3 linked regions of the Caenorhabditis elegans genome follow. The protein of the gene in region 2 interacts with the protein of the main gene of each other region in a pairwise test. Each region holds a gene or a part of one and is shown on either strand. Other genes may lie near its edges. The genes, in order: tbx-9, cec-1 and C38D4.7.

Region 1 (4,395 bases), 1.9 Mb from region 2:
ATATTTGACCGCAAAATATCTCGTAGCGAAAACTACAGTAATTCTTCAAAAGACTACTGTAGCGCTTGTGTCGATTTACGAGCTCGATTTTTGAAATGAATCAGACTAGAAGAAAAGGAGGAAAATATTGAACATCAATTGAACATCAATTCAAAAAGTCGAACCCTTGACTACAGTAGTCTTCTAAAGAATTACTGTAGTTTTCGCTACGAGATATTTTGCGCGTCAAATATGTTGCGCAATACGCATCCTCAGAATTGTGTGTTCTCGTAATGTCTTGAAAATTTTCCATTTCAACATCAAATAAGCAAATCTAAAAATGTGGGTTCTGCAGCGACCACTATGACTGTGATCGTGGCAAGACCCACTCAGAAAACTACGTGTTCCTTTAAACAATACATTTTTAAGTATTGTAGGTATAAAAATTGTTGGCTAGCAGTCTAGGCTGCCTTTTTCAGTCGACAAACTTCTAATTTAATCGGCGGGTCTTCAAAAAGTCGTTTCTTTGAAAATATAAAGCTTTATATATTTATATATTAAAAATTTTGATTACATGATATCAAAAGCGACCAGTTTGCATAAAAATTATCAACCAACAATATCAATATCTTCTTCTACCTCCTGATCCTCCTCCTTCACAATGCTCAGCTCACTGCTCGAGCTGGAAGGAGTCGACGGGAGAGGCGAGAGAAATGGAAAAGCGAATGGAAATTGGACTGGAAGATTTTCAGATAACATATGGGGAAAATAAAAAAGAAATGGGTTGATTGGAGGCATCGACTGAAGAGGTGCGACCTCCGGTGGTGATCTGGATTTTGGCGATGGGGACTGTGAGTTGCTGCCGTCGGAATATGATGGTGATCTTCTCTTGCGACTCAAGTTCCCGTCACGGAAACCTTTGGCAAAACTGTTGTGCTTGATTTTCAAGTCGGTGATTTTTTGGTTCTGAAATGAGGAAAAATTAGGTTTATTATTCAACTCTCTCTATCTTTGAAAACAAAGAATCTATTAAGAAATTGTTAAACACCATATTATGGATCACAAAGCGAGCAATATTTTTGTAGTTGACAACTTTTATATAGCTCTTTTTATTGGCGAGGTAGGAGTGCTTAAAGTAGCGCAGTTTCAAATTTATAAATAGAGCCAAATTTTGAGCAAGTGTAACTCTCCTTCTTTTAACTCTATTAAAAACTTGTCAACTAACTAATTAATCTTTACAACTAGGGTTACAAATTATTAGTTAACGACTTCTTGATAAGTATGATGGTTGACAAGACTTCCCCCTTCCTTCCCAGATTTCCCATTGTTCACAAAATATTGATTCTTCCGAGATAAGATCCATGCGCTAATACTCTTACTCTCAATACTAACCTGGTAAGCCGTTACTGCAATAAACTCGGTATGAGGGAATTTGGCGGTGGCGACGATTTGGTTTGAGGATTGTGGGACGCAGAAAGGGCTCTCCGATGGAGACTCGTAGATTGTCAGCACTGGAATGTACTTGTGCATGCTGTTGAGGTAAATCTGAAATTTCAATTTTAAATTGGAAATTGCCAAGTAATTTTAAAGTTGAAATCCTACCATTGAAGCGTTGTTGGACTCTGAATAGTTGGAGATTTTCACACGATCAAAGCAAATCGAACTCCACATCCAGTCACTGAAATTAATTGGGGTTACTTTGAAGATATAAATTTAGCAAATTTAGAATTATTTTCATCTGAATTATGTTGTCAGTTGACAAACGACAAACTTTGAAAACTTTAATGTTAGATGAGATGTAACCCTCAAAATATTCCAAAGGCATTTGAATGCCAGTGTCGGCAGCTCTAACTCTTCAATGGCTCAAGCTAGAAAAAAGTTGTCAACTGGCAAATTGTAGATGATAAATCAGTTAACAATTTTCCAGTTAACATCTTTTTTAAAACTTCCAAGCCCGCTGAGATATGGCGCTTTGAAGTTGTAATACCAGGGCGGAGCTAAAAAAAGTTGCCAATTGACAAAATGGTTCTCACTATTTTGATAATCATGTCAGTTTACAAATCTTCATAGCTTCTAATCTTCCAATTCCTATGTCACACTCACCTTCCCTTCCGAACTCCATCAGCATGCCACATCTTCTTCGCGTCGACCTGCTTCTCAGCTTTGCCCGTTTCCTGCCACTTTCCACCGCTGAACTTGAATCGACTTTCTCCAACTGGTTGTAATTGGAGCATTATTGCATACAGCTTGTTTTCATCAAGCCCTTCGACTATATATTCCAACTTTGGGAACAACTTTCGGCCGTTCTTCGTGACAATCATCTCGTTGACTTCTGCGTGGAATATCTTCCAGAGAGTTTCTTGGGATCCTTCGATTGATACTTTGACTTTGGACATTTTTTGTCTGAAAACGTTAAAATATATTATGAAAACGAACAGCAAAAAAAAAGTTGGAAAATGGTATAAGATATAATGTTATATTCTCACCGGTTTGGCAGCTACACTTGCTTAGAGTGTGGTACCAGTGAGAAGGAGGAGCGGGAAAACTATTCTAACTTAAAAACGGTGGTATCTAGCAAAAAGTTGTTAACTAACAAAGCAACAATGATAAAATTTGCAATATTTTGTTAGTTGACAACTATTTGGTATCTCTTGCCAGTTTTGAGATAACGTCTGAGATATCCCCGCCGTTCAAAAATAAGAAAACAAAAAAATAGAAAAATAAGAAACACGATAAGATAGAGATGTCATCACAAAAAAATGGTGATTTAAGACAAAGAAGTGAGAAATTGTGCACATCTTCACCCCATCTCACCTCATTGCCAAACCACACCCCTCTGCAAGGGCGGGCAGGTTGTGCGCGTGGCCCTCTCGGCTATCGATTCTGGGAAGACTTGGCGGCTGACTGGTAGATCAAAAGAGTTGGGTATACTTTCAAAACAAAATTGGGAGATCAAATTCTGATGTGGCATAGAAATAGAGAAGACGGTCCGAAAATGTTGGTTTTATGTAAACTTCAAAAAATGTTCAAAATTTAAAGATGATACAACTTCCTTATTAATTAAAGAATTATGCTATGTATACCATGCTTATCGACAGTATGGATTTTGTATATTTTTACTTTGAGATCACTTTTCTCAAGAAAGAATGACAGTAAAAATTAATGTAAACTGAATTTTTTTGTACCATATAAAAACCGAAATTTGAAAAAAATAACTTTATTTAATGTTTCAAAATAAAGATTTTACCATTTTACATTTTCATACCTTCCACAATTACCCATTATTCCATCTTCAAACCCTCCTTCTATTTCCAGATAATATACCATTTCCAAGTATACCCCTTTTTTGTCGGTTACCTCCAAAAGAGCATACGTTGTAAAATTTTTGAGCCGGTTAGTTGTAGTGGGCTCTTTTGATAGAACACCGACAGTATTGACTGGAGGTGTAAAAATTGGTAGCTGAAGGAAAATGGATAAAAGAAAACATTGGTTAACGGATCAAAATTATTTTGCATTTTTAGACATAAAGTGATATTAAAAATTCGAATTTCATAACGAATGTTCTAAAACATTGCTCAAAAATATTAGGAAAAACTCTCCAAATTTTGCAGATCCATTAAAATTTCTGAGCAATTTTTGAGCAAACCTTTTAAGTCTATAAGTCAGGATAATTTTGATATATTCGTCTTCCCAAAAGCTATCAAAAAGATGTCAACTTTCAAAAAAAAACTCAATTTTTTTCCGGGGTCTAACTTTTTTGTGGATGCAGCTATCAAAAATTTGTCAACTAACTGATTGTTCATAATTTCCAGAGCTATATTTTGTCAGTTGGCAACTATTCGGTAAACTCGAAGCTTTTCGAGATAATCGTTTCCCAAATTGTTATCTGAACCCAAATTTCTCCGACCCCATTAGCCCCATTTTCCTAGAAAATAAGACTGATCTCCAAAACACCAAAAAAAAAGCTGTAAAACTTTACTCTTCCCAAAACTCTCCGAGTCGGTGTTTTTACGGGGGGTACCTCTAAATCAGGTGGTCGATAAACATCGTGGCGGATTTATAACCTCCACAATTGTTAGTTGGCGTCAATGGATATACAGGTGATAAGGTTTACAATCACTGATTAGTTGTTCTGAATTTTTTTTTCCCAGGAACACAAAAATTGAGGTTTCCTGCTTTTAAAATGTTTTTAAAAACACTAAAACACTTGTTCAAAAAATTTAAAAATCACATTCCTTCCCTAACAAAATAAAATTTTAAATTTATTAATTCAATTCCATACCTATTAATTAAATGTATATCCTCCTCCACAGGTGCGAACTCCTCGTTGTACGCGTGTCTGCCACGTGGCGGCGAGAACAAAGTGCTGACATTCATTGTTTTGTCTAATTTTGCTGAAAATATCATGTGCAGCTA
Region 2 (4,501 bases):
TTCGGCAAATCTACTTTTTTGAAATTTGCCGTGCTCGGCAAATTCGGCAAATTTGGCAAATTTGCCGCACACCCCTGCTCCACACAATCAATTTTTCAACTTTATCAAGCTTGTTTCAGTTTCCGTAAGATTTTCGCATCTCCCAGGTTCTCTGAATTCGTCTTTCAGATCAAAACCTATTTGGAATTGACTACACAGTTTAGCCAAAGTTGTCACAAAAAATTTCGAAAATTGCCAGAGTTGCCGAACATCAGAATTTTCGTCAGCCGACTTTTGGCTAAAACTTGCGGCAGCTGCTGAAAAGCCAGACAGCCCTGTTCTGTACATAGAGTGACAGGAGTCTTTGTCCGTGTGAACTCTGTACTGTGAAACGTTAAATATTGAAATTAATCGGTTCGGTATAAAAGTATTGACTTTTTCAAAAAACTACAGTAACCCAACCAGTTGTAGAAAATACTCAATTGTTAGTGTAAACAGCTAGAAATTTGCAGCCGTGTGATGATCATCTGATGCGTCTCTCCCTTTCTCTTTTTATATTTCATATTTTCCCACCCCCTTTTCTCTCTATAAAATGCCATGTCAACCTATTGGGAAAAAGCAATAGACGTGCGAGAAAACAGAGAAAAGCACTGTGCTGTCCGTCAGTGAGGGGCTGCCTGCGTGGCCGGACAGCGAGAAGACTAGAGCCCGACTGCGAATAGTGTGTCAGAGCAAGAGGAGCAGACGCTGTCGAAGGTTATACACTATGGAAAGAGCGGACAGAAAAGAGAAAATAGACCTCCATCACACACAGAGAGACACAGCCCACATACACACAAACAAACCAAGGCGATGTCGTCGTCTTCTTCTCCTTATTTCATTCTCGTATAACTCTCTCACTGTCTTCCCATCTCTGTTAACTTGTCAAAATTTTCTCTAGTGCCAAAAAAACATTATTTTTTAATAGCAAAAAAAAAGTTTAAAATTTTAATAATTCTAGTGGTAATATACAGTCAAAATGGTAAATTTCCATAGTCACCACAAAAATGTAGTAAAAAAACATTTCAACAAAATTATTTTTTATCCAAAGTAACAAAAATCTTAAGGTTTCGAAAGTTCGAGGTGACGAACAGTACACAAAAGCTAGTGCAAACCTTTTGATAACCATTTTTCAAAATTTTTGTAAATTTTATGTTTTGTTGTTGCGATATTTGTATATGTTATTTTCGAAGCATTCTCATAATATATTTTTAAAAAACCCCTACATTCTAGAATGTGTTTTTTCTACAATTTTTTAGATTTAATGTAGTTCAAAAATGGTTTTTTCTCTTTTTCATTTTTATTTTGAAATTTCTTACAGGAGCAGTTTTCCAAACATACTCCGAAACTCAAAATGGCAGTAGTACCATCAGATTTTAGAAGGCTTTCTTTGATTCCTGAGGTATACTGCCTAAATATATTTTCCTTGAAATTTTCATTGCTCATGTTGTAATTTTAGTATTGTTTGAAATCCTGTTGCAACCCTGGTGGCTTTTAGTCAAAAAAAAAATAAAAATTATACAAATTATGTTAAGCCAGATATAACCATTTTAACTTTAGTCATTTTTATGTTCTACATTACATTTTAGCTGTTACTATTAAATTCTATCAAAATTAGCAACAACTTTAATAGAGAAAATTTTAAAACGTTTCAAGTTTACCACTCAATTTTTTTTTCACTTTTCCACTTATTTACCAACACCAATCTAATTGTAGAACCATGGCCGACGGATCAGAGCTCTACACCGTCGAGTCAATTTTGGAACATCGCAAGAAGAAGGTAATTAAGTTCAACTTTTACTTTTTTTTTCCTGCCTGGCACTCAGCCAAGTCATTCTTCTATCCTTCTCTAGTTTTTTTTTTGCAAACGCGTAATCAAGTTTGAGAGACGCAGAGACAAATAAACATAGGGAACGTTCGGTTTGAGATGGATTGGGAGAAATTGAAGAGAAAATAAAATGGCAAGATATATTTGAAATATGTAATTAACGATTTTGCAGGGAAAGAGCGAGTTCTACATAAAATGGCTCGGATATGACCATACGTAAGTTTTCTCTCTCGAATTTTTTCCAAAACATTTTCATAAAGTTTTTTGAAGCATATTTTTTTGATTCAATTAGTTATTCCAAATTATACCCATTTTCAGTTTTGAAAATTCCAGAAAATTTTAGTTATTTTTATTACAGTCTTGTTTGGACTAAATCGTGTAATTTTCAGTCACAACAGCTGGGAACCAAAGGAGAATATAGTCGATCCAACACTAATTGAAGCGTTCTTCACGCGAGAAGCAGCTCGTAAAGCAGAAATCAAAGCTAAAAAAGATAAAATGGCTGCTGGAAAGAAGGGTGCATCTTCGAAAGCTTCTGCTTCAGTAAGCAAAGCATCTGCTTCAACTCCTGCTCGTGGAGCTAAAGCTGCTCCAAAACCCCCACCCAAAAAATCCCCACCAAAGAGGCAGAGACTAGCAGGAGGTGATATCCGACCAGATAGTGATACGGATGAAGAACATTCTTCAGCTGATAAGAAATCAAAAGCAGAGGATGAAGAAGAAGTTGAAGATGATGAGGAGCCAGTGCCAAAGAAAAAGAAGGAGGTTCAAGAAGAACCTGAAGAAGAAGAGTCTGTAGAAGGAGAAGATGAGGAAGAATCCCAAGAGGTTGAGGATTTGAAGGAAGATGAAAAAATGGAAGAAGACGAGAAAGAAGAAGAGGAGGACGTACAATTAGAATCAGAGAAAAACGAGAAAGAAGAAGAAGAGGAAAAGGTGGAGGAAAAGAAAGAAGAGGAAGAGGAAGAAGAGGAGGAAGAGATTCAATTGGTTATTGTAGAGAAGACGGTCATTGAGACTACGGTATGTCATTTCATTTTTTATTACTTTTCTACTTTAACTGCTAATATTTTGGTGTTCGTTAGCTTTATCAAAACAATAAACTTTCAACAAATATTTTTAATAGTGTAAGTTTTTGAAAAAGCAAGTCAACTGATGTAGGAGAAGTCAAAGTTGAGGAATATGGGTAGAATACTGTACTTCTTAAATAATTTATATAATTTGAATACGGTTTTTAGAGAAATTTTCATATTTTTCCCCTCTAAGTACGTCTTAACCAAGTTGCCGGTTTCCGAAAAATTGACAAGTTCTACAACCCGACAAATTCTGTGTTCGGCAAATTCAGTGATTTTCAGTTTCCTAAAAATTTCAGCGTTAAGTAATATTGCTGGAAGGTTTATTTGCCGCACATCCTTGTTATTTTTTATCTTTCGGTTGTTTTTGAGCTGATTAAACAATTTTAATACCGAAGTATTGAAAAAACGTAAAACATAACTTTACTTAAAATTATGTTTATCTTTATTCAAAAATATGAAATTTTGCGATAAAAAGTTTTCCGAAATGCTACGACTTTTAAGAGCTATTTTTGAACGTACTTTAAAGATAATATTCCTTATAAAACTTAAAATAAAAATGTTTCAGATAGTGGAACCAGCTGTAGCTACTCCCGAGCCATCCGAGCCATCGTCTTCTGAGAAGGCTGTAGTAGAAAATGGATCTTCTTCTGCTGCTGCAGGAAATTCTGCTTCAAAACCAGAAGTTTCTGCCGTAGAAGTCGTCACAGTTGAAGACGACGATGATATTGCAATTATCGAATGAACAAAATATAAATAAAAATCAATAATCACTGATTCTCTATTATGTGTTTTATGAAAAATCTCTCTGTCTCTCTAATTCCCTTCATCATCCTTTCACTCGTTTCAACTCACTCTCAATATTATCATTTAACTTAAATCTTATTTTTCTGTCATCTCTTAAATTTGTTCCAGATAACCAAAGTCTTTAATCAGAAAATCATTATTTTGTCTATGTCACTCATTCAACATCAGTCGCCGTCGCCCTCACCCAAGAAAAAATTCCATGTTACAATTTTATTTACTGCATTTTTTTGAAATAAAATAAATACAAATATTATCGATTTGGAAAAGGCATAAACATTACAGAGAAGCACTGACACAAATTTCCAACAGAACAGTGTTGGTCTACCAAAAAACAAAACATAAAAATTCGGTATTTGATGAGAAAGAGGCTTATATATTACGGGAACACACAATTTTGAGAATATGTATTGTGCAATTAATTTAAAGTGCAAAATATCCAGTATCGAAAACTACAGCAATTCTTTACTTGTGTCAATTCGATGGAAGGGGAACAATTGAGAGAAATGTAGAAATGTCAGAGTAGAACAAAAAAAGTTAAGCTTGAACTGAAAATCTTAATAGTTATTATAATCGTGCAATGGTAACAAACATATAACTCCTTAATTTCTGGAGCCAAAATAGCGGCAGTGAGAGAGAAAGTGGAAAGCTCACCGAGTGAAAAAACATTCAATAACTGGAAACTTTGCCCCGCCCCTTTTCTTGGATTGTATAGAGTTGATCCACATTTTCCCCAGAGATAGCTAGAATTTGAACTCAAAGAACACTTGGAAATACT
Region 3 (3,690 bases), 3.6 Mb from region 2:
TTAAAAAATATAATTTAGATTTGGAAACACATATGTTAACTGAAAGAGTAGGACTAGATATGATTTTGTCTAAATACTCTTAAAATGTCCCAAAAATCCAAATATCTAAACATGTTTAAGATTTTTCAACTTTTCCAGTCAACTTTGGCAAATTGCCAATTTTTTTACCAATTTGGACTTTATGAAAAACTTCGGGCAATTTTGTAAATTTGAACAATCACAGCGTTTAAATACATATAATTTAAATATAATTAAAATACAAAACTATTAGAAATCATATTTTCCGGATTTCCAAAATTATGTGCTTTGAAAACTGAGGAATTGCCACTTTTTGTGGACTTTGGAGAAAAAAAAATGTTTTCAATTGTTAAAGATATTTTACCATCAAGATCTGATTTTTCTAACCCCAATTTTATAAATTAAAACAAAAAGAACTGAAAAAAAATCATAAATTTCTAGTCAAAAATTACTCAGTTTTCACTTATCATCATTTTGGACGTTGATCATAAGTTGTATTGTATTGTATTTATTACGATAGAGTTGTTCAACAAATTTGGTAATTTGCCAAAAAATTTGACAAAATAGTCCGAAAAGTTGTTTCAATTAGATACTTGGTTTTTTGTAATATGTTTTAGTTTTAGTATATTTGGTATGAAACTCCTTACAATTGGAGATGATGTTCTTTTTTCCAATGTTCCACATTTTCCTAATAATCCGTTTTATCTTTCCTTGAATACATAAACACATTCTCTTGAAGATCATACTAATTGTTTATATCACAATGTGCTCTTCGTCGGGCTCGCGTCAAAAGATGCGCGAAAAGAAATGCGACACCTCCTCCTCCAACTGGGTCGGCGTTAGGCTTTTTCTTTATTCCTTCCGCATCACGCTCGTAAATCGTGGTATCAAGCTGAGAAGGGCCGTCTTTCTCTGGCTTCGGTATCGGTATCTCATTGCGAAAAAAGCAAAGGATATAAGCACTTAAATTATACAAAAGATTATACATTGTTTGGTGTTTTGCCGCACAGTAATCCGCAGTAAGACAATCCAAGTGGTTGCGCCACCCGTCTGTGAGAAACCAACAAAAAAGTTTCACAAAAGTTTGGAATACCTGGGTTAAATTACATTTTAAAAAGTTTCAGGAAAAAGTACATTCTGCATTTTAGATTTTTTATTTCGTTCATGTTTTGGTAAATTACCAAATATTCCAACAACGTTTTTTTTAGTAATTTAGAGAAATTTAGAATTGAAATATGAATATAAAGTTATTTTTTTGATTCGTTTAAAATTATAGAAAGATGCTTAACAATTTTAGAATATAATCCTCCAAATAATCGGGGAAAATTCTTCAATTGATAACTTTCATACTGTATACTTTCAGAATGCAACATGTTATCTTCAGGCCATTTAAATATTTTTCTATATTTTGAAACTAAATTTTAATTAAAAATATAGGCACAACATTCTGAAATAGGCTATTTTGTAGAAGTGATGCACACACAAACTTTGGCAGATTGTATCTCAGCTGCTATTAGTCTTAATATCAAAAAATGGCAACAAGAAAAATATGTTTTATGTATTTTTCTCTACGACATTGCTGTTGAAAATTTGTTGATATCTTTCAAATGCAGAGAGATATGAGCTTCCCAAAAGAGCAACTACGGCAAAAAATAAAAACTGTATTGTAAAAAATTTTCAAAAATTTGCTTTGAAAATTTTTTTTTGGAAATATATTCAGAATATTCTTTTCAATTTCATTGAAGTTTTCTAATTTTTCCCTTTAAAACAAAATGTTTTTAAAAAACGAAAAAGATGAACTTCCGTATGACCTCACGTGCCTCTTGAAGAGATGGGCGAAGCAACGTGTGCCACGTTTTTCGTCAGAATCGACATTCTCGATTTTAACAGTTCACTTTTTCACCTTTTCCTCTTTCCTTTTCAGCTTTTGATTCGGAATTTTTTTTATTAGAACGTGTTCACGCTATTCTTCTCGTTGGGTCTCGCCACGATCACTGTCGTTTTAGCTGCTAAAAGTGCAAATCTTCACAAAATCATACATTTCAGGATGAGCAAGCCAAGCACTCCAGCTCCAGCCTCTGCTGACCAAGTGAGTTTTTCATTTCATTGTACCTAAAAAATAATCGTTTTCAGAATGGCGATTCCGCCACCCGACAGACTGCCCAGACTACTGAAACTCCCGCGAGTTTGCTTTCTGCTGTGGGAAATGGTGCACCGAATATGGCGGGATTTACCCTCAACCGCGATATGGTCCCATTCTTCCCCTACCAACTCCAAAATCCGATGCTCCAACCACCACAAAACTCTTTGGAAAATGCGGTTAGTACATTGACTTTTACAATTGAGCCATTACTGAAATGGAATTATTTTTCAGATTGTGCACTCACTGGGTACTCTGGCTGCTCAGTCATCCATGTTTGGGCAGTTGTGTGAGAAGATGCTAAAAGCCCAAGAAGAAGCTCGCGCCGATCAACGATCCATTCGCGAAGAGCATCGAGCTGAAAGAGAGAAGGCCGACGAGCGGAGCCAGCAAAATATGGATAAGATGATGGCACTTGTCCATTCTCTCGTGGAACGTGTCGATAGGAGCCACGCTTCGTCATATGATGTGGTTGGTCAAAAGAATCCATCGTCCAGCTCCCTCAAACCAGCGAAAAGAGTCAAGTCTGCCGTTGTTCGTCAATCCAATTTAGCCAAGCGGACCGGAGCACCTGTTGATGCTGCAAAGGAGTTGAAAAAGATTCGAGATGAGGAAAACAGAAACCATGGACGATCTGCTGAAAGGTAATTCTAGTTGTGTTTTTTTTTTCAATTTAAATGAGAGTTTCAGAGATAATGTGTTCATCGGTGCAGTGCTGGTGGGGAAAGGATCTCAGTACGATAAGGTAAGCCTGAAAATTATAAAAAATTAGTTGAAGTTGTTTTTCAGGATCTTGAAAAATTCAAGAGCTTCCGATGCAGGACCTGCAATGAAGTTTCCCAGACGAAGGAGCAGCTCGTGGATCACTTTTCAAACAACCACGCCGGCGAACTTGGGGCGAGAAGGTCACTGCGAATAAAGCAGACCTCGTGTTAAATTTCTTTTTTAATTTATATTCGTTTTTGTTTTAAAATTTAAGCTTTTTTGATACAAATAAATTTTATAGTAAATAAATCTTGTTTCTCCTACCAGCTATCTAACTATTCCCAACAGTGGGTGGCAATAAATACGAGACGCGGCTCTTCTCACGGCGGTATCATAGATGCACAAAGAGCAAAACGATTACGCAACAGACAGCCGGGTCATATTCAGGTCAAACTTGATAGTGCATGAAATCGAGTAGTAAGCGACTCTTTGATATTTTCAGATGCTCCATTTGTTGTTCTTCATGACAGCTGCAGAGTTCCCAGATCGTAAATGTTTAATGTTCTGAAAGAAGGTACATAATCAGTCAAAGGGCGGTCTCATTGTTGCCTTTTATATCAAATCTTTGGAGGACAAATTGTCGATTTCAGCAACATTTTTTGTTAAGAATCTCCAACTTTTAGAATAACTATTTAATAGATCACTCGTTTCTGATAAGAGAAATAATTCTCTGCTACCGTAATCTTTGCTCCACATGAACCTGTCAGTCATAAATGCTCATTCGTATCGTACTCAATTAAACTTTCATCGCTCATTTATTTCCTAAT

Evidence for each region.
Region 1: the proteins of cec-1 (region 2) and tbx-9 interact in a two-hybrid assay, tested with the Caenorhabditis elegans proteins (one large-scale study listed by BioGRID).
Region 3: the proteins of cec-1 (region 2) and C38D4.7 interact in a two-hybrid assay, tested with the Caenorhabditis elegans proteins (one large-scale study listed by BioGRID).

Annotation. Positions count from the first base shown.
Region 1 is NC_003281.10:10,339,477-10,343,871, forward strand, and holds tbx-9 (T-box transcription factor tbx-9), read right to left. Parts: upstream 2,383-4,395; 5' UTR 2,376-2,382; coding exon 2,083-2,375; intron 1,658-2,082; coding exon 1,582-1,657; intron 1,525-1,581; coding exon 1,372-1,524; intron 946-1,371; coding exon 589-945; 3' UTR 530-588; downstream 1-529. UniProt on the Caenorhabditis elegans protein: Transcription factor. Involved in the control of early morphogenesis of the intestine, hypodermis and body-wall muscle. Involved in regulating expression of vab-7. Appears to have partially redundant function to tbx-8.
Region 2 is NC_003281.10:8,424,602-8,429,102, forward strand, and holds cec-1 (Chromo domain-containing protein cec-1), read left to right. Parts: upstream 1-1,731; 5' UTR 1,732-1,738; coding exon 1,739-1,798; intron 1,799-2,018; coding exon 2,019-2,062; intron 2,063-2,235; coding exon 2,236-2,869; intron 2,870-3,487; coding exon 3,488-3,664; 3' UTR 3,665-3,982; downstream 3,983-4,501.
Region 3 is NC_003281.10:4,809,526-4,813,215, reverse strand, and holds C38D4.7 (C2H2-type domain-containing protein), read left to right. Parts: upstream 1-1,920; 5' UTR 1,921-2,065; coding exon 2,066-2,107; intron 2,108-2,151; coding exon 2,152-2,337; intron 2,338-2,392; coding exon 2,393-2,802; intron 2,803-2,848; coding exon 2,849-2,903; intron 2,904-2,947; coding exon 2,948-3,094; 3' UTR 3,095-3,185; downstream 3,186-3,690.